Linked DNA regions of Diceros bicornis minor. The protein of the gene in region 3 binds, or shares a complex with, the protein of the main gene of each other region. Links are inferred from orthologs where the notes say so. Each region holds a gene or a part of one and is shown on either strand. Other genes may lie near its edges.

The links.
Region 1: STUB1 (region 3) and HSPB8 share a complex: the UniProt entries of both Homo sapiens proteins name them as parts of the chaperone-assisted selective autophagy (CASA) complex. The link is inferred for Diceros bicornis minor from reciprocal best matches to the Homo sapiens genes STUB1 and HSPB8.
Region 2: STUB1 (region 3) and BAG3 share a complex: the UniProt entries of both Homo sapiens proteins name them as parts of the chaperone-assisted selective autophagy (CASA) complex. The link is inferred for Diceros bicornis minor from reciprocal best matches to the Homo sapiens genes STUB1 and BAG3.
Region 4: the proteins of STUB1 (region 3) and CHIC2 are in contact, whole or in part, in a crystal structure (PDB 8SUV), measured with the Homo sapiens proteins. The link is inferred for Diceros bicornis minor from reciprocal best matches to the Homo sapiens genes STUB1 and CHIC2. Residues at the interface, in NP_005852.2 of Homo sapiens: Lys30, Asn34, Phe37, Tyr49, Val61, Asn65, Leu68, Leu71, Val94, Lys95, Phe98, Phe99, Gln102, Arg128, Asn130, Phe131, Gly132, Asp134, Ile135; in NP_036242.1 of Homo sapiens: Leu156, Pro157, Lys158, Thr159, Pro160, Ile161, Phe162, Arg163, Pro164, Asp165.

The regions. Positions count from the first base shown.
Region 1 is NC_080774.1:15,958,448-15,965,997, reverse strand, and holds the start of HSPB8 (heat shock protein beta-8), read right to left. Parts: upstream 3,014-7,550; 5' UTR 2,540-3,013; coding exon 2,179-2,539; intron 1-2,178. UniProt on the Homo sapiens protein: Involved in the chaperone-assisted selective autophagy (CASA), a crucial process for protein quality control, particularly in mechanical strained cells and tissues such as muscle. Displays temperature-dependent chaperone activity.
Region 2 is NC_080745.1:82,420,007-82,426,981, reverse strand, and holds the start of BAG3 (BAG family molecular chaperone regulator 3), read right to left. Parts: upstream 3,003-6,975; 5' UTR 2,697-3,002; coding exon 2,511-2,696; intron 1-2,510. UniProt on the Homo sapiens protein: Co-chaperone and adapter protein that connects different classes of molecular chaperones including heat shock proteins 70 (HSP70s), e.g. HSPA1A/HSP70 or HSPA8/HSC70, and small heat shock proteins (sHSPs), e.g. HSPB8.
Region 3 is NC_080765.1:47,639,450-47,646,685, reverse strand, and holds STUB1 (E3 ubiquitin-protein ligase CHIP), read left to right. Parts: upstream 1-4,402; 5' UTR 4,403-4,470; coding exon 4,471-4,629; intron 4,630-5,175; coding exon 5,176-5,374; intron 5,375-5,463; coding exon 5,464-5,629; intron 5,630-5,837; coding exon 5,838-5,925; intron 5,926-6,069; coding exon 6,070-6,126; intron 6,127-6,214; coding exon 6,215-6,532; 3' UTR 6,533-6,728; downstream 6,729-7,236. Other genes in the region: RHBDL1 (rhomboid-related protein 1), read left to right, coding at 263-436, 658-1,106, 1,234-1,519, 1,600-1,660, 1,738-2,009; uncharacterized protein LOC131422050, read right to left, coding at 2,644-2,807, 2,911-2,986, 3,308-3,409, 3,466-3,859, 3,933-4,060; JMJD8 (jmjC domain-containing protein 8), read right to left, coding at 6,847-6,927, 7,013-7,147, 7,223-7,236. UniProt on the Homo sapiens protein: E3 ubiquitin-protein ligase which targets misfolded chaperone substrates towards proteasomal degradation.
Region 4 is NC_080747.1:42,073,625-42,081,226, forward strand, and holds the start of CHIC2 (cysteine-rich hydrophobic domain-containing protein 2), read right to left. Parts: upstream 3,002-7,602; 5' UTR 2,686-3,001; coding exon 2,567-2,685; intron 1-2,566.

The DNA.
Region 1 (7,550 bases), on a different chromosome or scaffold from region 3:
GATCTGATTTTTTAAACCTCTTTTACGACAGTCTCTGTATGTACTCTCAGGGGATTTGGATTCTGTCAAGCTGAGGTTGCTAAGTGCACACCTGTGAGGATTTTACAACCAAAAAAGGCTTTGTCTGTCTTTTATTTAAGCCCCCAATGACCCCACTTTACAGATGTGGAAACTGAGGCTCTGAGACTCACTCACAGCCTCCAGATTCCTAAGGTACTTAGCTGGGATCTCAGCCTGGAGCTGCCAGACCCTACTTTAAGAAGCACTTAGAAAGGAGGATGGAGAAAAACCCTCCAGGCTGGACAGAGGTCTCCTGGAGGGGCCACAGGGCTCTCCAACCTGGAGGATGGGCAATCCTCCAACCCAGAGTGGAAGATTCTGGAACCCTAATTAAAACAAAGATGGGAGGATGGTGATAATAATCACCTTGTTTACAGAGTGCCAGGCAGGCCCTATTATTAGCTCCATTTTACAGACACTCTGCATTTATTACCATATACTGTCTGCATATATTTAATCTTCCTTACAGCTTTGCAGGAGAGTTATTATTATGATCCCCATTATGCAGATGAGGAATCTGAGGCTGGGAGCTGTGAAAAGACTTTCTGTGTATCCATCCGGAGAGGGAACAGCGGTGCCGGGATTTGAACCCAGGTCTCAAACAGCATCTACCATTTATGATTTATTGGGTCTTTACTATGTGCCTGGCATTTTAACAACAACAACATCAACCACAATAACAGTACTGATCCCTTGTGTTCCAGGCACTACGTACACACTTTACACGCATCACGTCATTTAACACAACAATCCTTACGCGGCGTCGCTACTTGAACCCGATTTTCAGATAAGGAAACAAAGCACAGAGAAGTTACGTAATTTGCACAGCCTGCTGGTTCGTGGTGGGGCCAGTTTGAGAACTCCTGCCTGGCTCGGGGAGCCCTGGCTGACCTCCTCCCTCTGCACGTGGCCCCAGCGTGCCTCCTGGCTCACCTCCTCGGGAGCCTCTGATGTTTATAATTCTGCCCTGCGAGGCTTTGAAACTTCCCCCAACGCTGCCTGCCTGCCGGGGCTTGTCCCTGCCCAGCCTGTGTCTGCAATGGCCTTGATCTTCTGGCTGGCGGAGCCTGCCAGGAACATGCTCTTCCTAATGGAGCGTTAATCGGGAGGGAAGGGAGAGAAAGCTCTTCCTCTGCTGCCCTGCTTACCAGGCACCGAGCCTCTGTCTCCTCTTTTCTTTTTCCAGAGCATTTCCTCCCCGGGGCTGGGAAGTGGTGGCAGCAGCCCTGGGCCTGGTGTCCTGGGTAGGCCCAGAAAATTCCTGCTGCTGACTCATGGCGTGACCTTGGACGGGTCCACCTGAACCTCAGCCTCCTCAGCTGCAAAATGGGACTAGACACCTCTGCTGGATTATTCGGGACAAGGAATACGAGTTTTAGTCCAGCCTTTGGCACCTAGTCTAGGTGCTCAGTATGTGATCAATTTGCTTCCGGCCTCCTGATTCCTAGACAGCCTGGGTTTGAATGCTTGGAGGCCTTGGGCAAGTTACTTTAACGTCTCTGTGCCTCGGTTTCCTCATCTGTAAAAAAGAGGAGACATACAGGATCCACCTCTGGTTGTATTAACCAAGATGCTACAGGTAAGGCGCCTTGCGTGGTGGTAAGCACTCAATCAAGGTTACCACTTAGTATTGTTATAACGACTATTATGCCTCAGTTTCCCTCTGGGACAAGGGGAGGCGTTTCTCTTGAAAGCTGTGCTGGGTATGAACATTATCATCGCTCAGCATGAAACACGCCTTCTAGACTGCTGTGATGCTGGGGTGCAATGAACCCCATTTCTTCCTTGTCTTTTATTCCTTCTCTGTTTAACTTATTCTTTAGATTAGATTCTCTCTGTCAAAATCTCCGATGTGGTTTACATTTTCCTGCCTGGATTTTGATTGACACAGCACCCAAAGGCCCCAGCAGCTGGGTCAGGTTAAGGTTTCTGCTGGAAGCCGGGAGAGGAGAGCTTTTCTATAAAGATAACTTTTGTGGCCACATTCCTGAGCCCTGAAGTCACCTGTGTCATGCTGTCACAGCTTCCCCATACGAGTGTCCTCCTTGCTGTTCCCAGGGCTGAAGTCTACACCTCCCTCCCCGGGTTCTCTCTCCTTTTCCTCTGCCCCCTACTCACCAGACACCTCCACATAGCCATCCTTGGTCTTCACCATCAGCTCCTCTGGCTTGAAGCTGTGCACGTTGACACACACTTTCCAGGGCTCCCCAGGGAAGGGTGGGGGGCTCCTGCCCTCGGAGGGTACCCCAAACCTGGCTGTGGCAGTGGGCCCCCGGGGCACCATGCCCGACCTCAGGGTCCCCGGCCAGGCCGAGGAGAATGGAGGCAGGGCCCAGTCGTGCCAAGAGGCAGTCAAATTGTCGTGGAAGGGGTCCATGCCAAAGCCATCGTCCAGCAGGCGGGAGGACAGGGGCGAGTCTCGGAAGGGGTCTCGGCGCAGGCGGCCTGTGTAGGGGAAGGGCATCTGACCATCAGCCATGGTGGCTGCTGAGCTGGAGGGGACACGGAGGCTCAGAGAGAGGGAGCCACCTGCCCAAGGTCACACAGCAAGGTGATGTGGGTGGGCTGGCCTTCCAAGCTTATTCTTCAGCTTTAGAAAACGCTGAACCATCCACTGCCAGGGACGGAGGCACACACCAGGCTGGGCTCCCACGCCCCAAAGACACTCCAGCCACCAGAGGCCACCCCCAGCTGGTCCAGCAGAATCCCAGAGGGCCCCTCTCCGTGCTGCCTCACCAGAGAGCAGCCGGTCTCTGTCCTTCCAGGCCGCACAGGCTGGCAGCCAGAGCCGCTGAGGTCTCAAGTGGAGCCAGGAGCTTAATAAACCCAGGGAGGCAGGCCTAGAAGCTTCTCGCTCCTCCTGGGCTGGGAGCCTTCTATTTATTGCGGCTAGGGACTGGAGGCGGGTTTTGCAAGTGCCTCCTGTCACAGGAGTATTCAGAGGTGATGAAGCAGCCCCAGAGAATCCGCTGAGGGAACAGCTGGGCTCCCGGGGGGCTGGGAGGGGCGTCTGCGTCCAAGTTCAGCCAGCCTCTCGGACTCTCTCCTCCCCACGCTCGGCTCAGCCCCGCCCTCCCTCGTCCCCCGGAGCCCGCCCTCCCCGGGCAGGGCCCTATTAATAACCCTCGTCCGGCTGAGGGCTCAGGTCACCCTCTGGAAATACCTTCCCCACAGCCGGCCTGCATCCTGCCTCCCCCCTGGGGACCTGCAGATGGGGAGGAGAGAGACAGAGCCCCGTGCGTTTGGAGGCAGATGGCTCTGGATTGCAATCCCCACTTACAAGCTCTCAGAGCTCACCTCAGTGTCCTCAGAGGAGAGTAACATTATTCCCCACGCATCTATGAGCTCCCAGTTTCCCCGCCTGCAAAATGGACATCAGAGTAGCCTCCTCAGGGGTGTGTGCTGAGGAAGACATGAGGCAATTTAGCAAAGCCTTTAGCAGACTGACACCGTTATATTTTCAATTTTGAGTTCTCAGTTACATAGTGTTTGCTGTATGTCAGGCCCTGTTCTAAATGCTTTACAAATATTAGCTCATCCTCAACAACAATCTCAAGAGGTAAACTTACTACTATTATCTCCGTTTTACAGATGGGGATGATGGAACAGGAAGTGACAACGAGCACCAGCTTCTATTATTATTATGACTGTAAATAATGATAATTATCAAAACGTGCTGTACCCAGGCATGGTGTCTGGCCTGAAACTCCAAGCCCAGAGAGGACCTGTTTTCTAGACTCCCCCGCCCCTCCCACGTGGCTTGGAGAATGAATCTATAAATCATCCTTTGACTTAAAGGTCCCTTGAGCTGGGGTTCCAATCTTTGATCTGTCCCCAACAGGTGGGCCGTTCGGGGCATGCCGGTATCCCTCTGTGGGCTTCAGGGTCTCAGCCCTGCTTCCTCGGGGGGTGGGGTGGGCTGGGGTGTTAAGGAATTCAGTGAGTCATTGGTTGAGAAATCGTTTTGAAGTTAAGCAGCGCCTCCATGAGAAAGTTTTCTAAAAATAATAGTATGGAAAGCAAGTCACCATCTGGTACTGCCTCCTATGTACCTATCACTGCGGTGGCAGGTGAGCACGACATTATGGCATTAAACCCTCACATCAATGAGGAGAGACTTATCACCACCCCCATTTTGCAGGTGAGGAGACAGAGGCTCAGAGCACTGGCCGGTGCGTGCAGCTCTGGGGTGGCAGGGCCGGGTGGGAACCTGGGTTGTTCTGAATCTCAGATCCATGCTGAGCTGACTGACAGAGACCCCCGCCTCCCTCCCCCTCCAGCCGAGAGAGGGAGACTGAGGCGCCCCCCACCCCCCACTGACTCGGGGTGAGATCATCAGGCTAGAAGCTTCAGGCTGACGTCACGCTGGGCACAGAAGCCTCAGCTCTCTCTGTAATTACAGCTGGGGCGGGGCCGGCTGGGTTTGGAGCCAGGATGAGAATGACAGGGTGACACAGAGGAGAAAGCCAGCCCCGCCTGGGACCTGGGCTGGGGTGGGGTGAGGCTTCTGAGTGGGTGGGCTGGGCTGGAGGTGGCTTGGCCCGGAGTGAGTTTGTTTTGATTGGAGTGGGTGGAGCGGTGAGTGTGTTTATGTGTGGATGGAGCTGTGTTTACTTATGGGTGAGTCGGCTGGTGGATGTGTTCTAGAAGACCCTCCTTCTCCTTCCTCTCCTGGCTTCCCCTCCACCCCACAGAGCCTGAGGAGGAAGCGGGTGACACAAGCTCCATGACCTCATCACCTTCTCATTTCAAGGATGCTTGCATTGAGGCCTGTAGGAAGGAAGGGAGGTGTGCAGCTTGAAAACAGAAATAGCAAGCATTAGCTGATTCTGGCACTTTCCATGTGCCAGGCTCTTCTCTAAGCACTTTAAATTTACGTATGTTAACTCATCTAGTCCTCCCTGCTACCCTACAAGGAAGGAAATTTTATTATTCCCATTTTACAGATGAGGAAACTGAGGCACAGAGAGATGACATGACGTGCCCATGTCTACATACCTGGTTAAGTGGCAGAGCTGGGATTCGAACCCAGGCAGTTTGGCACTTGATCCCTCTGCTGCACTGCCTCTTATAATCATAGTCATGGCTCACATTTATTGAGCGCTGACTGTATACCAGGTCCTGTGCTCAGCATTGTTATTCATGACGGCATTGAATCCTCATGGTTCAGAGAGGTGAAGCCACCTGCCCCGGGCCACACAGCTGGCTGAGGATTCGAACCCAAGCCAGCGGGACTTGGGAGCCCAGGGTAATAACCAGAATAGGACTGTGTAGCCCAGGCTGTGTCCAGTGATCCTCCCACACACCTGCTGTCCCACTGTTTCTGGGTCAGGCCAGCCTTCTGATTTGGAAAGCTGAGGAGGGAGGCAGCTGCTAGCCCTGCTGACCCAGCCACCCGGGGAGGAGTCAGCTAACACACACGTGGAAAGTGGTCGATAAACCCCATGGCTCTCATCGGCCAGGTGAAAACATGGGGCCAGGCCTGGGAGAGGCCAGGGAAGGGAAGGAGCCTCCTCCAGGCTGGCTCTCTTAGGGAAGGAAAGACCCTGGTAGGGTGTATGTGAGGGGCAGGAGGAGGGGGACGTTAAATCCCAGGTCCCAGAACAAGGGTTTCCTTGGCTGCCATTCTCTTGGAGCTTTCACTCGGCAAGTACACGATTAATTATTAGTCCTCAAACAGACAGCCCAGAGGGAGGGTGACATCACCCCGCATCCCAGAAACGGGGGCTGAGCGGGGATAAGCAGCAGCCTAAAGTCACACAGGTAGTGCCAGGGCAAAGACACAGGTTTGTCAGTTGCCCAATTCCGTGCTTTTTCTTTCCACTGCAGCAAGACCCCAAGCTCCCTCCTCCCCAGCCTCACAGCCCTTCACCTGCAGGCCCTTCCCTAACTCTAGAGGGGTAGGGTCTGTGAGGGCTGAAGGGAGGGGCTCCTTGAATCCCTCGAAGGTGTGGCTCTCTGGACGTTATTTTTGACTAATGTTTTATCTACAATTATAGGGGTTTGGAAGTCTTGTTCCGGCATGGGGGCAGATCCTGGTGGCCTCCCCCATTCACTCAGGCTCCAGGTCCAGGAAGACCTGTCTCAGAGTTCCCTCTCTTGGACACCCCAGAGCCCGGCGCATCCTCCAGCAAGTAGGAGGTGAGCGTGCTCAGGTCTTTTTCCCTTCCTGTTCTCAGACCCTCTATGGATGACTCTAATGGAGTTCCAGCACATTCTCTCCGTGACGGCAGGACCCTTGTGTGTTTTGTTCACAGCAGCAGCCCCTATGCCTAGAAGGGTGCCTGGTGCGTTACAGGAGCTCAGCAGATCTTGGCCGAGTGGATGATGTTGTGTCAGCAACCCTGTGTCTGAACTGCTCACTCACACGTGACAGATTCTGCACACGGTCACAGCGTTAGAATATTCACTAAGATTGCCAGGGTACTTAGAAGGTGCTGGGCACCCAGCTAAGTGCTTCCCCAACATGTTTACGTTTAATCTTCACAACAGGCTCCCCGGAGGTTCGGCCCATCACCATCCCCATTTTGCAGAGGAGGAAACTGAGGCTTAAGGTATGATGTGACTTCCCCAATGTGTGTTCTGAACCCAGGTGTGTCTGAACTTCAGGCCCAGTGCTCTTTTCTCTGCCACACACCCGTACAAAAACAGATGATTAATAAATAAAATAAACAACCCACAGGGTCCCTCCCTAAATAAGTCGATGTCCTCACCATCCTGTGCAGGTAGGTAACCTTATTTATTGAGCTCTATCTTCCTCCTAATATTGTCTCCAAAATTCTCTCCAGGGCTCACAGCCCCTGACCACCTCTATAAATAATTATGATAATCATAATAACAATAAAAATAGCAAAGATTTATCATTTTGTACCGGTTGTGTTTTGTATATATTGACTTATTTAATCCTCACCTAAATTGCTCTAAGATAGGTATTATTCTCTCCATTCACAGATGACAATATTGAGGCACAGAGAGGTTAAATAACTTGCTCAAGGTCACACAGCTACTAAGAGGCAGAGCTGATGTTCAAATCCAGGCAATCTGACTCCAGACTCTGCGTTCCTAATGACAGCCTGATTCTATGAATAACAACAGAAACGACAAAACAGTGATGCGCCCCACTATGATTTGAGACCTACTATGCGCCAGCTCTGCTAAATGCCTTACCTCTCTTAACCCTCATGACAACCCTGTGAGGCAGTAGTATACTGTTAACCCCATTTTATGTGGACAAGTAAAGGCACGGGGTCAGATCTTTGCTGCCCAGCGAGCTGTGCCCCCGGCCCCTACTGTATGCCCTGCCAGAGCGCCGGCTCTCCAAACCCAGATTGACCCCACGGACGATAACTGACCCCAGGCGGTCGCCAGCCCCTCTCCCTTCACTTCTCACTGGTCCTCCTTCTCTGGAACATTCTTCCAGCCCTTCCAGATGTTTTCAGTAGAAAAATGACACGAGGAACACACTGACACTTGGGATCCTGGAGGCCGCC
Region 2 (6,975 bases), on a different chromosome or scaffold from region 3:
TGACAGCATCTCTTCCTGAAGGTAATGATGCTCTGAGGGTCCTCTTGGCTTGGCTCCTCCAAAACCACCCTTTGTTTTAAGCCAGGGCCCTTTCCTCATTATACATTAAGAAACCAGTTTCTAATATAAAGTAATACTCAAGGATTTTCCATTGTATTTAGTCTGGAGTGAGGTGTAATCCATATAAGTGAAAGTGAATTAGTCACCCACATGTTCTGTATCAAAGCACAGGTTGCAAGCAATGAAGCACAAAGAGCTAATGAACTGAATGTTTTCTCCTTATGTTTTGGTGCCATGCTGACAAATCTCAAGTAGTTAATTTGGTAAAGAGAACTCTTTTTCTTGAGTTGATCATAACCAGCCACCATCCAAGTAATCACAGCATAGAAGTCAGCCACCCAATACTTGGTGGTCTGGAGGACACAAAAAATAATCAAGTATTCCAGCCCACATGCTTCACAGTTTCATAAAAATTCAAGACACTTCTACCTTCTTCTGAACAGATACACTGCCTCTTATTAGGACTTCCTGGTGTAGTTCTCCCTCTGCTTTTAGTACTAGCTGAGTGACCTCTGGAAACACATTTGAACTCACTGGGTTTCTTTCTCAGTAAAATAAAGAGGCTGAACTAAAAGATCTTTAAGGACCTTTCAACTTTAAAATTCTGACTGTTCGATTTTCAAATCAACTTTTCCAGCGTCAGACTTCTGGTTTAGTAGTCTTATTTTCTACTTGTTAAGAACAATACTAGTAACTCAACCTGTCTTTCCCTCCTTAGGGTTAATGAAACCACAGCCTCACCCATCCACCGGATGGGTACCGGAAGATCTCAACTTGCTGGGGAGTTTCACACTGAAAACAAAGTACTGGAAATCTGGGTCTGGTACTGCACTCACAGTGGATACGTTCAAACCATCTTCTGAATGCAAAACCAAGGATGCCAGCAAATTCTGACTGTTCCTGTCTCTATAGAAAGGATCCCTCCAAAGAATAGTTTTTTACCACACTAAAGATCTACATCCATGCAGATGAGAGTACCAGGGCAGGTTTGAAATGAGCATTAGTTTCACCCAATAATGGGCTGACCAGACACACAAAAAAGAAGGTATAATCACGCCCCGCCCAGCTAATTACAGCCTCTTGTACTAATTTTCAGAAATAAATATACAATTAATTTCTTATAAATGTAAGTTGCTGAATATATGATGTCTCACTGTTGGACATCAGTGTTAACAGTATTTTTAAGAAAAAAGCACATAAAAATGAAGGTGGATAATACGTATCTTTCTTCTAAAATAACGACAAACAGCATTTTTAATTTTGTGAATTTTTAAATCTTCAAAATAACTTACCAGCTCTTTACAGCTTTTATTTTTATTTCGCCCAGGCAGCATAACATTACTCTTTCTTTAAGTATATTTCTTCCTGCCAAGCTTTTTATTTTGAAAAAGCTGAAATTTATGGTAAATTACAAGAGTAGTACAATTAGTTATAATTTTTTAAATTAACACTCATTCCAAATTTATATTCTCAAATTTTCATCCTCCTAAGGATTAAAAAATACATATCCTTGCATATACGTAAATGAGGCATACTTCCGCTGTATTCACAAAGGTATTACTACTCAGTTACTGGTGTATTAGAAACAAATCCTAGGTATTCTCATACCATAACAAGGAAGGGAATGCATGCCATTAAAAAAAAAAACTCATTCTCTTTCTCGCCAGTGTGAGGCAATGTCGTAAGGCAATGGCCAACTATGAGACAGTCTCACGTATTTAGTTTAGAAACTGCCTGGGAAACAGCATCTTGTTTTTAACAAATCATACTAGAATATATTCTTATTGAAAACAGTTTCGAACAATAATACAATTTTAATTTCAAACACAGAAAAGGGGGAAAAAAAAGGCAATGTATTTACATCACTCTCCTGAGTCACTCTGCTCCTCAGACTGGAGAGCCAAGTCAAGATACCCCTCAACCAAGTGGAGGAAGTTTAGGACGTGAAATTCCTAAGGGCCCACCACCCGGGCTTGCGAATGGGCCCCTGGCGGCCGCCGAAGCGCGATCAGCAGAGTGAACCCGGGATCTCAGGCCGGCGAGCCGGGCGGCGGCGGAGGCCGCGGCGGGGCCTGGCCCGGGCCTTCGGCGCTGCCCGAGGCCGCCCGCCCCTCCCGGCCCCTCGAATCGAGCTGGTGGACCGGACCTGGCGCCACCGCGCGGGTCGCACTTCCCGGGCCGACCCCCGGAAACCAAATGCGGCCCAGGGAGGACAGTGCCCTCCGGGGCCTCCCCCTCGCCCCGACGCCGGCCAAGGGCGGGCCCGGAAAGGGGGCTGGTAAGGGCGCAGCGGGCCGACTCCCCGGGAGCTGGTGTCCGCGCGTCCCAGGCGGCCCTCACTGCCCTCCGGGGCCCGGGCGCGGGCGCCTCGCGTCCCCGCAGCCCGGCCCGGTCCCTCGCCCTCGCCGTCGAGGGGGCCGCCGGCGGGGCGCGGCGCGGGCCTGGCTCACCTTGGGGCCCTCGGGGGGCACGCGCGGGTCGTTCCACGTCGTGGTGCGGCTGTTGTGGTCCACGAAGAAGGGCCAGCCGGTCTGCGGGTCGATCTTGATCTCCCAGCCGGGGGGCAGGGGGTCGCGGTCGCCAGCGCCGTTGCCGGACGCCATCTGCACCATGGGTGAGTGGGTGGCAGCGCTCATGCTGGGTCGGGGTCGGCCCGGAGGGGCGGCCGCCGCGGCGCCGGGTCGCGGGGTGCGGGGTGCTGGGTCGCGGGGTGCCGGGTCTCCAGGCGCCGAGTGGCTCCCTGGCTGCGGCCGGAGCGAGAGCCGTGCGCGCCGCCGACGTGTCCGGGAAGCCGGCGCCGGGCACCTTTATGAATTAAAGGAGGGGGTGACGTGGCCCGAGAGGGGTGGAAGTGTCTGGAAATAGCCTCCTCGCTGCCAAAGGGGAAGGAGGAGATAAAGGGAGGTAGCAACTGGCCGGCTAGAAACTTCTGGTCCCATCCAGAGAAGTTGGCGGCGGCGCGGACTGGATGCGGAGCTCCGCCCTGAGTCATTGGCTATAATCGGCGCGGGGCGGGGCGGGGGCGGGGCCTCAGCTCTGCCGCCCCTCCCCCACGCTTTCCCCTCCTCCCCCGCCCAGCTGCGGGGGTGGCTGTCCCCGGGCGGGGGTGGCCCCGGGCTGGGTGGCCCCTGCGGCAGGCCGGCGGGACGAGCGAGCCCCGGGCCGTCGTCTGTGTGTCCTGGGCCGGTTTCGGTTTTCAGATTCGCTCCCTCTTCTTGGAGCCGCGTGGCTGTTCCCGGACCCCGGAGTCCGCGCGCGGGGTCTCTGCTGCTGCTGCTGCTGCTTATGAAAACAAAGTCATCCATCGTTCGCCTTTAAAGTCGTTGGTTTTAAACTAGAGTCTGGCCCACCCACCCCCTTTGCTCCTTCGTATACTGATACTCGGGGACACAGGCGTCCCTCAGTTACGTTTTAATCACTTTTTTTTCACGGGCTCAAGGGCCGTCCAGAAGGAGGTCTGGAATGTTGATCTGACACCATAACCAAGCCAGGGAGAAAATGGAAGTGCCAATGGAAACTCACCTGCTGCCTTTTGAAACCTAAGGGAGAAAGATTGCATCAGCTCAGGCTTTATGCTCCTGAACCTCATATCTCAAATATAGAAACTGTTATGGCAGTGGATGACTTTAAAGAAAAATCACATCCTGTGGGGTTTTGATCTTGTTTATGGTAGAGGTTGGTTCTTGCTATCTGAAATCTTGACTTTCATTTGGGAAGTGGGGACCAAATTGAATCATGAAATTTTTTTGTTTGGTGGATTCAATGGTGGTTGCACTTGTAACCTCAAGAGAGCATCCCAATTCCTCTGGGAGAGAGAGAAGGTACCCCAAAGGGAGAACGTTTGGGAGGTTCTATTTTAGATCCTTAGGCATGCAGACTCATTCCCTTCCCCAGAAACATTTGAGATGTTGCCTTGGACTAATATGGGGTCCAATTTTCCAACTCAAATTCAGAGAATACCCTGGCACCCTCAGTAGCACCTTTGGTCTCTTCCTGCCCTCAAATTACTCCTTTTGGAGCAAACGCTAGAGAGGCCTGCTGATTGTTTCCGATGGAATGATTCCCACTTACGTAGGTCTGTGTGTCAGCTTTGAAGTCCAAAAATTCAGTTTTGTAGAAACACAGAGGTGATTAAGCCCCAGGGACTGACTCAGGTCACCAGATACACAGGAGACTGATGTATAAACCCAAAGGCCAGTGCATTCTTTTACCATAAGAAATATTGCTTTTGAAGGAGCTGGACCCTCAAGTTCATTGGTCAGTATCTATCTTATTCTTCCCTATTTCTGAAGCCCTGAGCACAGGACTGGGCCCAGAGTTCATATTCAATAAATACTGATGTTTGTTGAAGATTGAATCCAAAGTGAATTTTTATTTCTCTCTTCTTCCTTAGCTCAATTAGCTTTCCACTACAATTAGAGTTTAAACACGGAGAGCATTCTTTGCTGGCTTTTTTTTTTTTTTTGCTAGACAGAAGCAGGTTCCTCTGGGATTAACAGAGCTGCTTCTCACAGCTGTATTCCACCAAGGGCTTCAAATGGTTTTGTCTAAAATGGAGCCATAAGTCTTAGAGAGCTGGCCAGAAGTTCCTTTGAGCTCTGCTGAGTAACAGGGAGCATGTCTGTCATTGGTGGCTTTTTTTGCCTCTAGGTCTTAAAACACTAGTTCCCCTGGTGCTATGGACTGAATGTTTGTGTCCCTCCAAAATTCATTTGTTGAAACGTGTTCCCCAATATGATGCTATGAGGAGGTGGGGCCTTTGGGCAGTGACTGGGGCATGAGGGTGAATCCCTCGTGAATGGGAGGGATATAAGTGCCCATATAAAAAAGACCCCAGAGAGCTCCCTCACCTCTTCTGCCGTGTGAAGACACAGTGAGATGGCCATCTATGAACCAGGACACAGGGCCCCCCCTAGACGCCAAATCCGCTATTGCCTTGATCCTGGACTTCCTAGCCTCCAGAACTATGAGAAATAAATTTCTTTTGTTTGTAAGCCACACAGTCTATGGTATTCTCTTATAGCAGCCCGAAGCCACTAAGACACCAGGCCTTCTGGAGTTCATTTGCCCAGATCAAAAGCTTAAACACGACCCTGGAATCCCCTTTCTCTCTTACCATCCAGTCATCACCAGTTCTGTAGATTCCACCTCCTCAATATTCCGTGACTCTGTGCAGTCTTCTCTTTCTTCAGTGTCACCAACCTGATCCAGGTCACCCTTATCTCTCATCTGGACCCTGGCAACGGCCTCTAGTCTTTTCCATGTCCAATCCATTGCCCACGTAGCAGCCAGAGCGACCTTTTTCAAGCACAAATGGACCATGTCCTTTCTCTGGTTAGAATGCTTTAATGGCTCCCATTGCCCTCTCTGTATCCAAGTCCACGCTCCTCGGCCTGATGTACACAAGACCCTCCTCCCTCTCCCTGGTGCACACTCTGTCGTGGCCCTGCTGAGCTCTAGCAGGCACACACTGCACTTTCTCAACTGCACACACTGCTTCCTCCACCTTCTCCCCCACCCCCAATGCCTCCCACTCCCTATGTCCAGCTGAGTCCTCTTCATCTCCAGGTATCACCTTTGGCATCACTCTCCTTCACCCTCCTAATCGGGGTCATGTGTCCCTTCTAGATGCTCCCATACAAATCCTGTGCCACCCTATCAAGAGCACTGCATTGCAATTGCTTGTTTGATGGGCTGATTTGCTTATGGATTGAGTTTCTTGAGGGCAGGAGCAGAATCTTGATCGCCACTGTGTCCCCAGCCTCTGGCACAGTGCCTGGTAAATAACAGTTATAAAAACAATAACAATTTTTGTGTGTGTGTGTGTGAGGAAGATCAGCCCTGAGCTAACATCCATGCCCATCCTCCTCTTTTTTTGCTGAGGAAGACTGGCCCTGGGCTAACATCTGTGCCCATCTTCCTCCACTTTATATGGGACGCCGCCACAGCATGGCCTGACAAGTGGTGTATTGGTGCGCGCCAGGGATCCGAACTGCGGCCGCCAGCAGCAGAGCGTGTGCACTTAACCGCTACGCCACGGGGCCGGCCCGAAACAACAACAATTATAATGGCTACCATTTATAAGCATTTACTACATGCCAGGTTCTGTGTTGTGGGCTTTATGTGGATTATCTCATTTAATCTTTGTGGCGGAGGCTGTGATTCCCTTTGGAATGAAGGATTTATTCCGCCAGCTGCTGGGAATACTCAGGAATACCAATCTCAGCTGTCCTTTCTGATTGGCTCAGCTGAAGGAAACTGCCCTGCCCAGGGTTGCACATCCTTCCTGGGGCAGCCTGCATCCAGTGGCTGATCTACTGAGGGGCGTGAGGGCCCGGCCCTTTTGGTCCAACTCAGTATCCGGCTCCTGTGGTCTCCCAGTTCCACAGCACCATCTGGGGTTGGCTGCTGCTTTCTATGGAACTGCAACCCCTCTCAACTCCCTCTGCCCGTTCCTGCTTCCTGCTCTCCCCTTACTGGTGTTACTCTTGAGAGAATTCCCTCATAAAATCCTGCTTGCTAACTTCTGTTTCACAGTCTGCTTCCTGAGCAACCAAATCTGGAGCAATCCTCTCAACAGCCTTATGGGTAGGTATTATGTTTCCCCCTTTACAGGTGAACCAGTTAAGGTTTAGAGATGCTAAGTAATTGCTCAGTATCACAAAGCTCATGCTTTGTAGGGGTGGGATCTGAATTTAGGCAATTGATTCTAGAGCCCATGCTATTAACCAGGCACTCAATAAATATAATAAGTGAATCAATGGCTTAGTCCCTTTAGTCTCCAAGGAAAAAATTTGAAAAGCTACAATTCAGAAGCAAAGCTTTGTGCACATAATTTTTCTCAATGCCAAGGAAACAGGGCAGCAGTGGGCTGCTGTGGAAGATCACAACTCAGCCCTGCCAATGATGTGGACG
Region 3 (7,236 bases):
AAAGGGAGGGCGGTTGTTCTCAGACTTAGCTCTATCCTTCCATGGTCAGGGCAGAAATAAGGTGGGGAGACCTCTGGAGAGCTGGAGAAGGTGGAGGCCTGGGACCTGGGCGCTAGAGCCCTGCAGCTCCTGGGACCACGTGGGCACAGGGGCCTGGCCTGAGGGTGCTCAGAGCCTGTCTCCTCTAGCTGGCCTGGCCCAGCCCTGTGGTCTGGGGGCTGGGCCCACCCTCAGGCCTTGGCTGGCGGTCTCCTCACCCCAGCAGCTGGATCCTGACAACACAGGCTTCATCGGTGCGGACACCTTCACTGGCCTGGTGCACAGCCATGAGCTGCCCCTGGACCCGGCCAAGCTGGACATGCTTGTGGCCCTGGCCCAGAGCAACGAGAGGGGTCAGGTCTGCTACCAGGAGTTGGTGGACCTGGTCAGTGTCACGGTGGGTGTGCAGCAGGGGCGGGGTCCCAGGCCTTGGCTGGCCAAGTGCTGTGCTGGAAGGCCGGGGTTGGGTGGGCAGGCGGCCCCTCCTCCCTGCCTCCCACTGGGGAGGGCTGTGGACGTTGGGCAGGGCCTCAGACCCTGTGAGGAGCTGGGCAGGCCACATGGGCAGGGCGGCTGTGGGTGTAGTACAGTGGCCCACGCTTAGGCCCCGCCCCCCAGATCAGCAGCAAGCGCTCAAGCAGCTTCAAGCACGCCATCACCAATGGACAGCGGGCACTGCCCCGGGACGGGCTGCTGGACGAGCCGGGCCTGGGTGTCTACAAGCGGTTTGTGCGCTACGTGGCCTATGAGATCCTGCCCCGAGAGGTGGACCGCCACTGGTACTTCTACCGGCATCGCAGTTGCCCACCCCCGGTGTTTATGGCCTCGGTCACCCTCGCCCAGGTGGGCCTGCCCACGTGCCACCTGGGAGCCACCCATGTCACTGGCTTGCCTAGCCCTAATACCCGTCTCCCCCAGATTGTCGTGTTCCTGTGCTACGGGGCCCGCCTCAACAAGTGGGTGCTGCAGACCTACCACCCCGAGTACATGAGGAGCCCCCTCGTGTACCACCCCGGCCACCGCGCCCGGGCCTGGCGCTTCCTCACCTACATGTTCATGCACGTCGGGTGAGTGAGGCCCCTCCAGTACCCCTGTGATTGAATCAGGAGGGCTCAGCCCCTTTAGATGAGGCTGTGGGCTGGAGGCCCGACAGCTGACCTCACTCCTCGCACCCGTTTGCCCCCACATGGCCAGGTTGGAGCAGCTGGGGTTCAACGCACTCCTGCAGCTGATGATCGGGGTGCCCCTGGAGATGGTGCACGGCCTGCTCCGCATCAGCCTGCTCTACCTGGCTGGCGTGCTGGCAGGTGAGCAGGCGTGTGTCCCCTGGCCACCTTGTTGGCAGGCCTCTCTCTCACGGCCCCCCTTTGTTCACATAGGCTCCCTGACCGTCTCCATCACTGACATGCGGGCCCCTGTGGTGGGGGGCTCCGGCGGGGTCTATGCCCTGTGCTCAGCACACCTGGCCAACGTCGTCATGGTAAGGGGGCAACCACGGGCAGGGTGTGGGGAGGGGCAAACGAGGCCTGCCTCATGGCCTTTCTGTCTCACACCCCACAGAACTGGGCTGGGATGAGGTGTCCGTACAAGCTGCTGAGGATGGTGCTGGCCCTGGTGTGCAGTGAGTAGGGGGCTGGGGGGACTGGGGGGACTGAGCCTATGGCCAGGGTGCCTCCCACCTGCTGCTTCCCTCTGCAGTGAGCTCCGAGGTGGGCCGGGCCGTGTGGCTGCGCTTCTCCCCGCCACTGCCTGCCTCGGGCCCGCAGCCCAGCTTCATGGCGCACCTGGCGGGCGCTGTGGTGGGAGTCAGCATGGGCCTGACCATCCTGCGCAGCTACGAGGAGCGCCTGCGAGACCAGTGCGGCTGGTGGGTGGTGCTGCTCGCCTATGGCACCTTCCTGCTCTTCGCCATTTTCTGGAACATCTTCGCCTACGACCTGCTAGGCGCCCACATCCCCCCACCGCCGTAACGGGCTTCTGGAGCTACACAGGCCAGGGCGAAGGTGTGTGTGGGCCAGCCACCAGGCGGGCCTGCACATCCGCCCTCCGTGAATGTACGTCTCAAGGCTGCTGCTTCTCCCCTGTGGGGCGGGTGGCCCCTGTGGCCCCAAGTCCAGGCTGAGCCTTACACCAGCCCTGGTGCCCCCTCCCAGGCCTGGGGGTGTAGGACTGTTGGGCTGGGCCTGGTGGTGGAGGTCCCCAAGGGTGGCCCCAGAGGAGACCCTGCCTCCCAGCCTCCCCACCCAGGATTTGCGGTCTGAGCCTTTTTGGAGAATGAATAAATATTTTACACAGCACCAGGTGGCTGTACCAGAGCTCTGGGGGCTGGTCTGGCCTCCCCCCACTTGCTGAGCAGACCGTGAGGGCCCTTCCCTCCATGCAGGCGGCCTGGGCTCCCCCTTGCTCCCTCCACCTGGTATGAGGTGTGTTTGTAGGAGGCAGGAGGTTCTGGGGCAGGGCTGAGGGTCTCACCGTCAGGGGAGAGCTCAGCAAGCATTTACTGAGTGCCTACAGCAGCTGGCTCCTGCTCTGCCAGCTGGCCAACCAGAGACCTGTGGCCTGAGGTTGCGCGGCAGGTGAGCAGGCCCTGGGCCACAGCCACGTTCAGTCAGCCTGGGTCCTGTGCTTCTTGGCTGGCCTAGTGCCCTCAGGGGTGGCTGGGCCAGGGCCGAGGTTGGGCAGCAGGTCGGGGCACAGCTTCTGCCTCACAACCCAGGTCCACAGTGCTGTCTCCACGTGGTGAGGGGTCCACACCCCTGAGGTGCTGCCTAGGGAGGAACAGGAGGAGTCTGGGGACCAGGGGCCCTGGCCTCCCTCCCCTGCTGGACAGCTTTGCACACTGCCCCTTCACTGGGTCCTGGACGTCCTCACCTCTGCTCAGGGCTGTGGCACACTCCCGCCCCCCACCCAGGTACAACATGTAGTGCTTGGAGAGTGTACTGCAGAGCTAGCAGGCCAAGCACTGCGGCCACTGCCTCGTCGGAAATGAATGCTGCCTCCTCGGGGACTCCAGCAGCAAGGACCGCTGTGGATAGGAAGGGCCAGCACTCAGCCTCTGCCACTCTTGGGACAATCTTGGCGTGGGGCTGCCATTCCCAGTGACTGCTGGTGTCATGGACATGACCATCTGTCCTTTTTACAGACAAGGGCGCTACCAGGCCAGGTCCCGCCCGCGACCCTGCTGGGGCGCCCAGCTCTCCCAACTAACCCGAGGCGGTGGCGGGGCCCACGCCGCGGAGGGTGCACAATTCTGTGACAATTCCCTGACCGCTGCCTGCAGGTCCGGCAGCAGGCGGAAGGCGGTGGCCGAGCGCTGCAACACCAGCTCGGGGGCATTGGAGGTCACGAGGCGCGGCCGGAAGCGGCCTCTCTGGGGCCAGGCCAGATTGTGGGTCACGGGTGGTGGTCCTCGCCAGGGACCCCCACCCCCGCCGCGCCCCGGCCCGCGAGGCTCCGCACCACGCCATGAGGACCTGCTGCCACAAGGGAGCCGCGCCCCACGCCGCGGGGACTCGGCCCCCGAGGAAGCCGCGCCCACGCCGCGAGGACCCGCCTCCCGGAGAAGGCCACGCCCACACAGCGAGGACCCGCCTCCTGGGGGAAGCCACGCCCCATACCGCGGGGACCGCCCCCAGGAGGAGCCCAAATCCCGCGCCGCGAGGACGCGCCCATAGGAGGAGGACACGCCCCGCCGAGACCCCGCCCCCCACGTGAGAAGCCCCTCACCACCAGCTTCCACGCTAGCAGCCACTTTAGGTCATCTAGTGTCACGTGCTTCTCTGCGCGGTCCTGGATGGCTGCGGGCAACTCCACTCGATACCTGGGGAAGGACGGTGACGGGGAGTTCGGGCAGCGGGAGTCGCCCGCCCTACCGACCCCTCCCACCGGCCTACCATCGATCCAGGGCTTCCAGCCGCCCCTGGGAGTCCGGGTGGGCCCGCAGCACCTCCCCGTGGCGCGCCAGGATGGCGGTCCAGAGATTCGAGTCCTCACAGCCCCACAACCCGCGGGCGGCTGCCATGTTCGGGCGCCGGGCCGGGGCCTGGGAGAGTCGGGGGCGGGGCCTCGGAGAGTTGGGGGCGGGATCAGGGAGAGTCGGGGCGAGCTTCTGGAAGAACAACCCCTAAACGCGCGTGGCTGAGAGCATCTAGGGCCGCCCTCGACGATCACGCAGACTTCCGACGCCGCGGGTTGCGTCTCCGGGGACGCACTCTGCCGGCCTGCCCCGCCCCCGCAGTGTGTCGGGCGCACGCGCGGCCCCGCCCACCCGCGCGTGTCTGTCCGGCCTGCGGGCCCCGCCCCACGCGGCCGGAAATTCCGGTGGCGGATCGGTGGACCCGGCCCGAGCGCATCGCGGGCTCGGGCTGCGGGCGGGCGGCCGGGCCGGGCGCGGAGCCTGGGAGCGGAGCCCAGGCCGTGCCGCGCGGCGCCATGAAGGGCAAGGAGGAGAAGGAGGGCGGCGCGCGGCTGGGCGCCGGCGGCGGGAGCCCCGAGAAGAGCCCGAGTGCGCAGGAGCTCAAGGAGCAGGGCAACCGGCTCTTCGTGGGCCGCAAGTACCCGGAGGCGGCGGCCTGCTACGGTCGCGCCATCGTGAGTGTGCCCGCGCCGGGGGAGGGGCCGGCGTCCGGGCGGAGAGGGGCGGGGCCGCGGCTTCGGCTCCGAGTCCTCCCGCAAGCCCCTGCCCGGCCGCCCCCGCCGCTCCTTCGGAGGATTTTGGCTCTTCCGGAGGGCGTTTGGGCTTTGAGGACTCAGTGATGATCTTGTTCCAAAGGGGCCAAGGCCGCGGCTCTCCAGCCGGTGCTGGTTGCCGGAGAACTGTGGCGGGTGGGAGCTTCAGGGTGCTTGATGCCCGTCGGGCGGGGGGCCAGGGATCCTTGCCCCTTGAGGACCGCAGGCCGAAAGCTGGGATCTCCCTAAGTCTGGGAAACTTGCGGTTACAAAACCTATTGGAGTCAAGAGGGTGGGCTCAGATAGGCTTCGGGGCCAGCACTCCATCTCCACCAACTCTCAGGACCCAGGGACTTTGAGGCTGAGAAATCTCTAGTGTCTTGATTCCAGCTATGGGCCACAAACTGGGATAGAGGGGGCAGGCTGAGCTCACACCCTCATGCTGGCTGGCCCTGCCTTGGTCCCCAGACCCGGAATCCCCTGGTGGCGGTGTATTACACCAACCGGGCACTCTGCTACCTGAAGATGCAGCAGCACGAGCAGGCCCTGGCCGACTGCCGGCGCGCCCTGGAGCTGGACGGGCAGTCTGTGAAGGCGCACTTCTTCTTGGGGCAGTGCCAGCTGGAGATGGAGAGCTATGATGAGGCCATTGCTAATCTGCAGCGAGGTGGGCCTACAGGCTTGGCTGGTTATGGGGGTGCCTGAGAACAGGGGGGTGGACTGGCCAGAGGGTGACATGAGGCCCCCATTCCCCAGCCTACAACTTGGCCAAAGAGCAGCGGCTCAACTTTGGAGACGACATCCCCAGTGCCCTGCGCATCGCCAAGAAGAAGCGCTGGAACAGCATTGAGGAAAGGCGCATCAACCAGGAGAGCGAGCTGCACTCCTACCTCACGCGGCTCATCACAGCTGAGCGTGAGAGGTAGGCTGTGGTGGTGGCAGGCTCCAGGGCACCCTCCCCAAGTCACCACTCTGAGATCAACTCTGAGTCACAAACACAAGTATTTATTGAAGGCCAACACTGGCAAGCAGGAGACAGGAGATGAGGTCTGAATAAGCCCGAGGTTGGCATGCACTCTGACCTCTCCTGGCCAGACCCATCTCTGACCAGCTCCTTGGTCGACTTCCAGGGAGCTGGAAGAGTGTCAGCGGAGCCACAGGGGTGATGAAGACGATGGTCATCTCCGGACCCAGCAGGCCTGCATCGAGGCCAAGCACGTGAGGGTGCCCTGGCCCACGTGTGGGTCTGTGTGTGCATGCATGCAATGTGAGGGTGCTGCTGGTTCCTGTTAGGTGTGTGTCTGCGCCTGGGGAAGGGAAATGGAGTGTTTACCCCACGCGTAGCTGCTCGCTTCTTCACAGGACAAGTTCTTGGCAGACATGGATGAGCTCTTCTCCCAGGTGGACGAGAAGAGAAAGGTGTGCTGTCTGTTTCCTGGGGCCTGTGGGTAGCCGGAATCAGAGCAGTGTCCCCTTCCTGCTCCCTGACCTGACCTGTGTGTTGCAGAAACGAGACATCCCCGACTACCTTTGTGGCAAAATCAGCTTTGAGCTGATGCGGGAACCCTGCATCACACCCAGCGGCATCACTTACGACCGCAAGGACATCGAGGAGCACCTGCAGGTGAGGGAGGACCAGCGGGTGTTGGGGGCAGGGCCTGGATCCACTGACCACCTTCTGACCCTGTTGTCACTACAGCGCGTGGGCCACTTTGACCCTGTGACCCGGAGCCCCCTGACCCAGGAGCAGCTCATCCCTAACCTGGCCATGAAAGAGGTCATCGATGCATTCATCTCCGAGAACGGCTGGGTGGAGGACTACTGAGGCAGGGCCAGTGCAAGGGCCACTCGCCCCGCTTTGCCCGGTAACCTGGCCCTGGAGGGCCTTGGGGCAGTAGCCCTGGCCCCTGTACAGAGTTCATGTCCCTGAATTCTTGCCCCAGTGTCCCCATGCCACTCTCCGTCAGTTCTGATGCTGGGCCATCAGCCTCCCCTGTCCCCTTTCTGGGCTGGAAACAGCAGGTGAGGGTGGGCTGGGCTGGGCTGGGCTGGGCTGAGGCTGCCGCTGCCACCACTGTCCCTGTAATAAAATATGTGAGCACTATAGGGGCACGTGCTGGTGCGCGATGGGCCCACTGGCTAGCTGAGGAAGGTAGAGATGAAGACACTGGTATCAAGGTTGAGTGTGGCATGCCACCATCGGTCAGGGAAATACAGCACCTGGTGGGGATAGGAGGGGGAACATAGGAGTCAGGTGGGGGCCCTCAGCCCAATACAGCCTGGCCCCCTTCTGCCAGCCACTGACCTCACCAGCTTGGATGGTGCACTCCAGGGGCCGCGCAGATGGTGCCAGGGCTGGGTATGTGTCCCGGAACCAGGCTAGCGTGGTCTTGTTGGGGTGGAACTCTGGTGTCTTCTCAGGGGGATACAGGAACCAGCGCTAAAGGCAGGAACAGCAAGGTCACTGTCCACGTTGTCAGTGAGCCCCAAGCCTCAGCTCCGACCCTGTGCTGACCTTGCGGCCGTAGA
Region 4 (7,602 bases), on a different chromosome or scaffold from region 3:
TATGCATGACCGAGTCATGTCAAGTTTTACATTACGATTACTATACTTATCTATGTCATCACAAAACAGGCTTAGGCTTTCAATGCAGAAAGATTCTTATTAATTCTCACCAAAATACTTCACATAGTAATTTAACCTCATATAAATTGCTTAGAAATGAAAAAATAAGACCAAAGTGAATCACTGTTAGGTTTGAATACAGCAGTTCAGATTTCTTAGTACTTTGCTTTACATGTATGTTTCTCAAAGTGGAACACTACAGGTGTGGAGGATAATTAATAAAGTAATAAAGGCTAATATTTATTGAACACAGTACCACACAATGTGATGAATTCTTTGCAATGTATTGTCTCATTTAATCCTTAATAACCTTAAAAGTTAGGTGCTATACTATCTTCATCTTAACTGAAAGAGACATAGATAATTTACCCAAAAAGTGGCAGAGGATAGATTTGAACCCAGAGCCTAGAACCAAGGTAACATGGAAGACAGGGAAGTGGCTGAGGAGATCACAGAAATATTAACTCCCAATGTAAAAAGGCATACTGTTTACTGATAGCATCTAGTTCCTCATTCCTCGTTATACTCTGGAATAGTGGTTTTCACTCCTGGCTACACATCAGAATCACTTGTCGGACTTTTTAAAAAACCATCCATGCCAGGGACACTCACTCAGATACTTGGCCTTCAATTGTCCTGGCCTGGGGCAAAGACAGGGTTTTTGTTTTTTGGTTTTTTTTTAAAGCTCCCCAGGTGATTCTAACAGGAAGCTAAGATTGAGAACCTGTAATTCTCACCCATCCTGTTAACCTCTCTGAGTAGCCAACTACAATCAAATTTACTGATCACCTATTTGGTTCTGAGCACTTCGCCTACGACATTTTCCATCTACCCAACAGCGCTTAGCTTTTCTTTTCCTTCAACAGAGGAAACATTACAACTACAGCTGCACCTTTCTAAACAATAAAACTTCGCCAGCTTTCTTTGACACGAGGAATGTAGGGGGAAAGGTGGGCAGATAACATGAAAAACTTTGAAAATCCCTTCTTTAAGCACCCATATACTCCTTAGGTTTAAAAGAATGTAAAAACGTCCTAAGCGCCAAACTAAAAATTAAATGGCAGGCTATGAGAGTAAAAAAGTTCTGTGATATATATTAAAGAAAGATTTAATATCCATGATATTTGGTTATATTTCTTAATTCTGCTGGTGATGACAGTTAAAACACTAAGTAACTGTTATTGTGGTGATAAATTCCATTGTCTTCTCATGGCACTATGACAGTGATTATGCAGTGTTTTTACCCTAAGTCACCTGAATATAAACTAACAGATGCTAAGAAAATCAAAGCATTACATAAGGATACCCAAACAACAATATGGCTGGTCATATCATGTACTGGGCAATGCAAGAATTTTGCTGACAATCTTACATAGGATCTCATATGAGAAGTCTTACTGTTTCACTAAAAGTTATTCACCGCACATCCCACTCGCCCTATACCAAAAATATAATGAAAACTGTTCCAAACAGTCTCAGACTTGCTGGCCCTTTTATTTTAACCAAAAGGTGAAGTGTGGAGATATCTGACAAGCATGGAGGTTTGACCCTTTGATTTGAACAAGAGCTCTAAAATGAAAAAGAGTATAAATACTTCAAGTTGTACAAAACTCGACTTCTCGGAGAAACATTACAAAACTTCCTACTTCCGGACAGCTCATTATTTGGTTCAAGTCTTCACATTCCTTTATTAGTCATAACCTTTCGGAAAGCTATCATTCCCTATTTGGATAATATCGACTTTTAAAGGTTGCTAAGTGGACTTACAGGAACCCTTATCAAATGAAGAAGCCATGCCAGAGTTCATGCCCAAAGGAGGGACTTAGATTACAGAGAACCCAACCCCCAGTAACCCAAGCAGAGGGTGTCCATCACCTAGATTTTTTTAAAAATATATATCGTTCTGCATATCTTAAATACATGTTCATCTACACATTTTTATCATACACAATTACAGGAACTTGCATTAGTTCCGCAGAAATTGACTCTGCAGGAAACTGGGAAGACCTGTGGGTATGTGTGAAACAGACAGAACGGCAATGAACCAGCCATGACCGATTGTCACTGGGGTCTCTAACGGCCCAGATCTGGCCTCTGAGCCATATGTCACCAGGCTCAAAGGCACAGACGAGACGAGAGAACCACAGGGCAACTGGATGAGAACACAAGGGGGAGGCACCTCATTACGTGTACTTTCACCCCGAAGCTGAAGGGGTGGCCCGAAGGGCAGACTCCAGAGAAAAACCTTCTCTTCTGGGATCCGTCACCATCCCAGGCCTGTAGGGCCTGCTAAGAGGGGTGTGTAGGGGAGGAAGGGCAGCGTCTGTCTCCACTTCGGAGACCTAAACAAACAAAAATACTGCAAGTTCTCACTTCCTGGTCGCCTCCTCTTCCCGAAGGCCCCCGACACAAGGCAGACACCGGGGAAGAGGGCTCCCGAGGAGTAAGGGGGCCCACCCCAGCCCCGCACCTCCCGTCCTCGCCCTCGCCCTCCTCCGGGCCTTACACGGTGACGTGACCGGAGCCGCGGACCACCACCGGGTCCGGGGAGTACTTGAGCAGCTGCTCCTCCAGGGCCCGCTCCTCGTCCTCCTCCTCCTCATAGATCTCGTCGAAATCCGCCATCCTGAGCCTCCGAGGCCCCCTGCCCGAAGGGGCCTGCCTCCAGGAGCCGGGGCCGGGATTCGGGCTGGCGAGGCGGCGGAGGCTGAGGGGAGTCGCTGCCGCGGGCTCGGAGGCCGCGGAGTTCGCTCTTGGCCGTCTCGGCTCAGGCTACAGAGGAGATGGGGTCCCGGCCGTCGCCGTCGCCGCCGCCATTACCGTCAGCAATAACAACAACACAATGTCAACATCCGCCCAAGGGCCGACACCTCCACCAGCTCCACCGCCGCCGCCGTCGCCGCCGCAGCAGCAACTCAGGCAACCACAGCAACAGCCAGGGCTACCCGCAGCGGGAGCAGCCGCCTACGGCATCGCGAGACTTCCCGGGAGTGCAGGCGGGCGCGTGGGCGCGCGGGTTGGCGGGCGGGAGCGCGCACGCGAGGCCTCGCGCGCTCCCAGGCCGCCTGCCTTCCTCCGCTCCCACCCCCGACGACGCCTTGGGCGCGCGCTCCCGCCGGCCGGGCCCCGCCCTCCCGCAAATGGGTCGCCTACCCGCAAAGGGAGTGGCTCTGCGGGCCGGAGGCGTTGACCCCGACTCAAAAACAGAGCTCGGACTGTCCGGTGGGGCACTTAGTTCCCGAAAGTAATCTCGAACCAAAACAAACAACTAAAAATAAAAACCCTGGGTGGAATGGAGAATTCATGGTGCGTGTGATTGCCAGTTTATCTAATAACCGAATCTCGCTTTTCGTCAGTTTTTTCAGTCTGTGATGAGAACGAGAGTCTGTACTTTCCCAGTTGGAGGAGCCCAACAGGCAAACCGCAGATACTTTTGTCCACTATAATACAGGACTTTTCAAAACGTCCAAATTCAAACATCTTGTCCCATCATCTCATTAAATATAGTCCAATATATGAGGCCAATGACGCTGATTTCTTTTTTCTTACAAGAAAACTCAATTGTATTCATACCGTGAAACAAAATTGACAAATTCTCTCGATTCCACATTAGAAGATGCAGTTTCCTGCCCCAACTCTCTCATCGACCATAACCTGTTTTCTTCCGTTAAGACCTTAAGGAATCTCTTTCGCTTTCTTACAGCTCCTCCCACGAAAGGGAACGGGAGGGCTGTGGCGTGGGCGGCGGCAAGAGTTGAAGGAATTCCCCTTACCTGCCTAGACCACTAGTAAAGTCCTAAGGGTCACCTTGGGTACTTGGTTTCATAGTCAAGAACCTGTCCAGGCATTCAAATAGTTCAGGGGTAAGAGTGGGCTCCTGAGAGAGTCCTGAATATTGAGCATACACTGTGAGGGCAGAAAAGGATAGTCATAGAGGCCCCACCGCTGGTCAGACTATTCTCCGAGTACAGTGTTTACATCCTGGCAGTTGACTTTAGCTGGGTCATTGTTGAAGTTGAGAAAGTGCAATGCAGGACAATGAGGACAATGAGAAATGCCAATCTCCTATTGAAAATGGTTGAGGGAAATGAGCATAGTTAGCCAAGAAAAAGATGAAGGAAAAACACAGTAGATGTATCAGACTTGCTGTATATCTCTCCAGAGGACATTTATTCATTCAACAAATATTTACTGAGCTCTAACTGTGTGGCAGGCACTGTGCAAGGGTGTGGGGGGGGGTGTGTATGTGTATGTATGTGTGAATGAGATACAATCCCTGCCTTCTAGTAGCTTTTTTATCACTAAGGCAAGCAATTGTAATTCTGTCAAGTGCTCCCAGAGGGAGTATACAGAGGGTGCTAAGGAAGCACACAGAAGGTGGCTTGGTTTGGTGGTTAACAATGGGCTCTGGAGCCTAACTGCCTGCCTTTGAATCTCAGCTCTGCCACTTACTGTGTGACCCTGGCCAAGTCACTTAACCTCTCTGTTCCTCATGTGTAAAATGAGATCATAATAGTATCTACCCCACTGGGCTGCTCTGAGATTAAAGGATTAATAGATGTGAAGTGCTTAGAAGAAGGCCTGGCATGCAGTAAATATGGGATGGCGATAGGGGATCTCTAAGGCCCCCTCCAGCTAATCAACTCTATGAGGATCAGCACAATTTTTTGCATTATGTAACACTTTACTGTTTATGAAGTACATACATAACATTTCATTTAATATTCCCCAAGAACCCTGTGAAGTAACCAAGGAGGATGTAATTTGTTCCTTAGTTTCAGGGATGCTATGACTTTCTCATGGCCAAATGGCTATTTAATAGTCAAATTCAGGGCTTCAACTCCAGCGCACTGGGTAGGCCAAGCTCCTGAATTTCCTTCTTGGCAGGAACCAGGCGGCCAGAGGCTTCACTCTGAAGGCGTGGCTGCAAATGGGAGGATGAGAAAAGGGAACAAGGGGAAGGGAGGTCAGTGTGTTCCGGGCATGGCCAACACCCTGTGTGCTGTGACTGAGAATTCACCTTTCTGTAGAAGCAGTCACCAAGATAAGGGGCTGGTGCCCCAAAGTACCTAAATCATCACATAGCTGACATCTTCCTAAGGGCAGAGGAAGTCACACACAGCTCCTTAAATCTCTAGCACTTTCCACAGTTCCTGCTCCAGAGAAAGAGCTCAATAAATGTTATCTGAATTGAGATATATTGTTTCTAGTGCTATTTCCAGATCATCATGAGTTAATTAGACTTCCCAGGACTGTGAGAGCCTCACCCTTATCTTAACACTGGTTCTGTGTGGGAGAAATGTTCTTATTCTAAGACCTATTCAACAGAGAGAACTTTGTAACTCCCACTGCCTCAGTGGAAGGTAGGGGCTGCCTTGTTTTTGCCCTTCCTATTTTGCTCTTCTTTTTCTTGCTCTGGAAAACCTGTCAGAGCCAGCAAAAGGGTGTGGGACTTGGGAACAAGGCCGAGAGGGTGAAGGAAGATGAGTCAAATCTTTCCCTGATGATCGTTGACATCATAATCCCAAACTTCACTCCAAACCCTTCAGGGTCCAATTTCCTGTCAGACTACTTCCCTGGTCTCTTCCTGAGGATGAAGCCCCTTCTCAGTATCTTTTCCCTCAGTGTCCAGGTGCTCTCCTGCTATCTGCTGTACGGACTCCTCTCCATCTCAGTTCCCCTTTGTGTTCCTGCTTCACACACTTGCACATTTACCTTCAGACCAAATGGCTCAAAACCAAACAGGATAATGCCTCAGGGGCCTCACGAGGCAAAAAAATCTTTAGTTGCATTTTAAGGCAAATATTCCTAGGTTTGAAAATTTCAAGTTCTGTCACTACCTAGCTGAGTGGCCTTGGACAGATTCAACTTGCTAAGCTTCCTTTTCTTCATCCTGAAGTGGAACCTATGTCAAGGGGTTATCAAGGATCAAATGAGGTAATGCACGTGCTATGGACTGAATTGTGTCCCCCCAAAATTCATATGTGGAAGCCCTAACTCACAATGTGATGGTATTTGGAGATAAGGCCTTTGGGATGTAATTAGGTTTAGATGAGGTCAGGAGGATAGAGTCCTCAGGATGAGATTAGTGCCTTGATAACAGGAGACCAGAGAGCTTGCTTTCCCTACCACCCGCCCCCAGAAAGGTGTGAGGCAGAAAGAAGACTGCCGCCTGCAAGCCAGGAAGCTGGCCCTCACCAGGAACCAAACCAGTCAGCACTTTGATCTGGAACTTCCAGTCTCCAGAACTGTGAGAAATAAATTTCTGTTGTTGAATTACTCAGTCTATGGTATTTCATTATGGCAGCCCAAGCTGACTAAGACAGCATTTAAACCCTGATTTGTTTACTCATTCATTCGTTAAACAAATATGCATCAAATTATTCCCATGTGCCATACTCTGTGCCAGGAACTAGGGTTTAGCAATAAGGTAGTAAACAAAACACAGTCCGTGACTTAATGGCGCATAAAGTCCATTGGGGAGGGCTGACAGATAATTATAAAAATCAGTAACTGTTAGAATTGTGATCAGTCCTGTGGACAAGAGCAGGGGAGACCATGGGCCGGCCCCGTGGCTTAGCGGTTGAGCGCTCGCGCTCCGCTGCTGGTGGCCCGGGGTTCGCATTCCGGGCGTGCACTGACGCACCGCTTCTCCGGCTAAGGCCGCGTCCCACATACAGTAATTAGAAGGATGTGCAGCTATGACATACAACTACCTACTGGGGCTTTGGGGGAAAAATAAATAAATAAGTAAAATTTAAATAAATAAATAAATAAAAAGAACAGGGGAGACCATGAGATCAGTTAACAGATCTAACTCACTCTGAGAAATCAAGAATTCTTCTCTGGAGAAATGACATTTAAGTTGAGCTAAGCAAAAGTATGAGGGTGGGGAAATAGAAGAGAGGAGAAAGTTCTAGGCAGCAGAAACAGCATGTTTGCCTTAGTTTGGGCCGCTATAACAGAGTGCCATAGACTAGGTGGCTTATAAACAACAGAAATTTATTTCTCTGCCCTCATGACCCAATCATCTATTAAACACCCCATCTCCTAATACCATCACATTGGGGGTTAAGATTTCAACATATGAATTTTAGGAGAACACAAACATTCAGTCTATAGTAATGTTTAAAGACCCTGAGGCAGAAAAGAGCACAACCCAAATCAGATACAAACTAGAGCCGGTGTGGCTGGACCACAGCAAAGAAGGCAGAGCCCAACTGGGATGGGGGCAAAGAGGTTGGTAGAAACATGAAGGTCTTGGTAAGGAATCTGAAGTTCATCCTAAAAGTAAAGGAGATACACTGAGGATGTGAAGCCAGGCAGGTGCATTTTAAAATCTCCAAATGGGTGAGTCCAGTAGATCAACCTACCCAGCATGTATCCCCTACTTCCTCTGAAAACAGTACATATCCCCTCCTTCCTTGTGGTAAGTCATATCTCTCCCACTATCAGTACATATGATTGGGTTAAGCTGACCACATCCCCAATTCCAAGAGTGGGCATGTGACCTAGGGCTGGCAAATCAGAGAGCATGGGGTA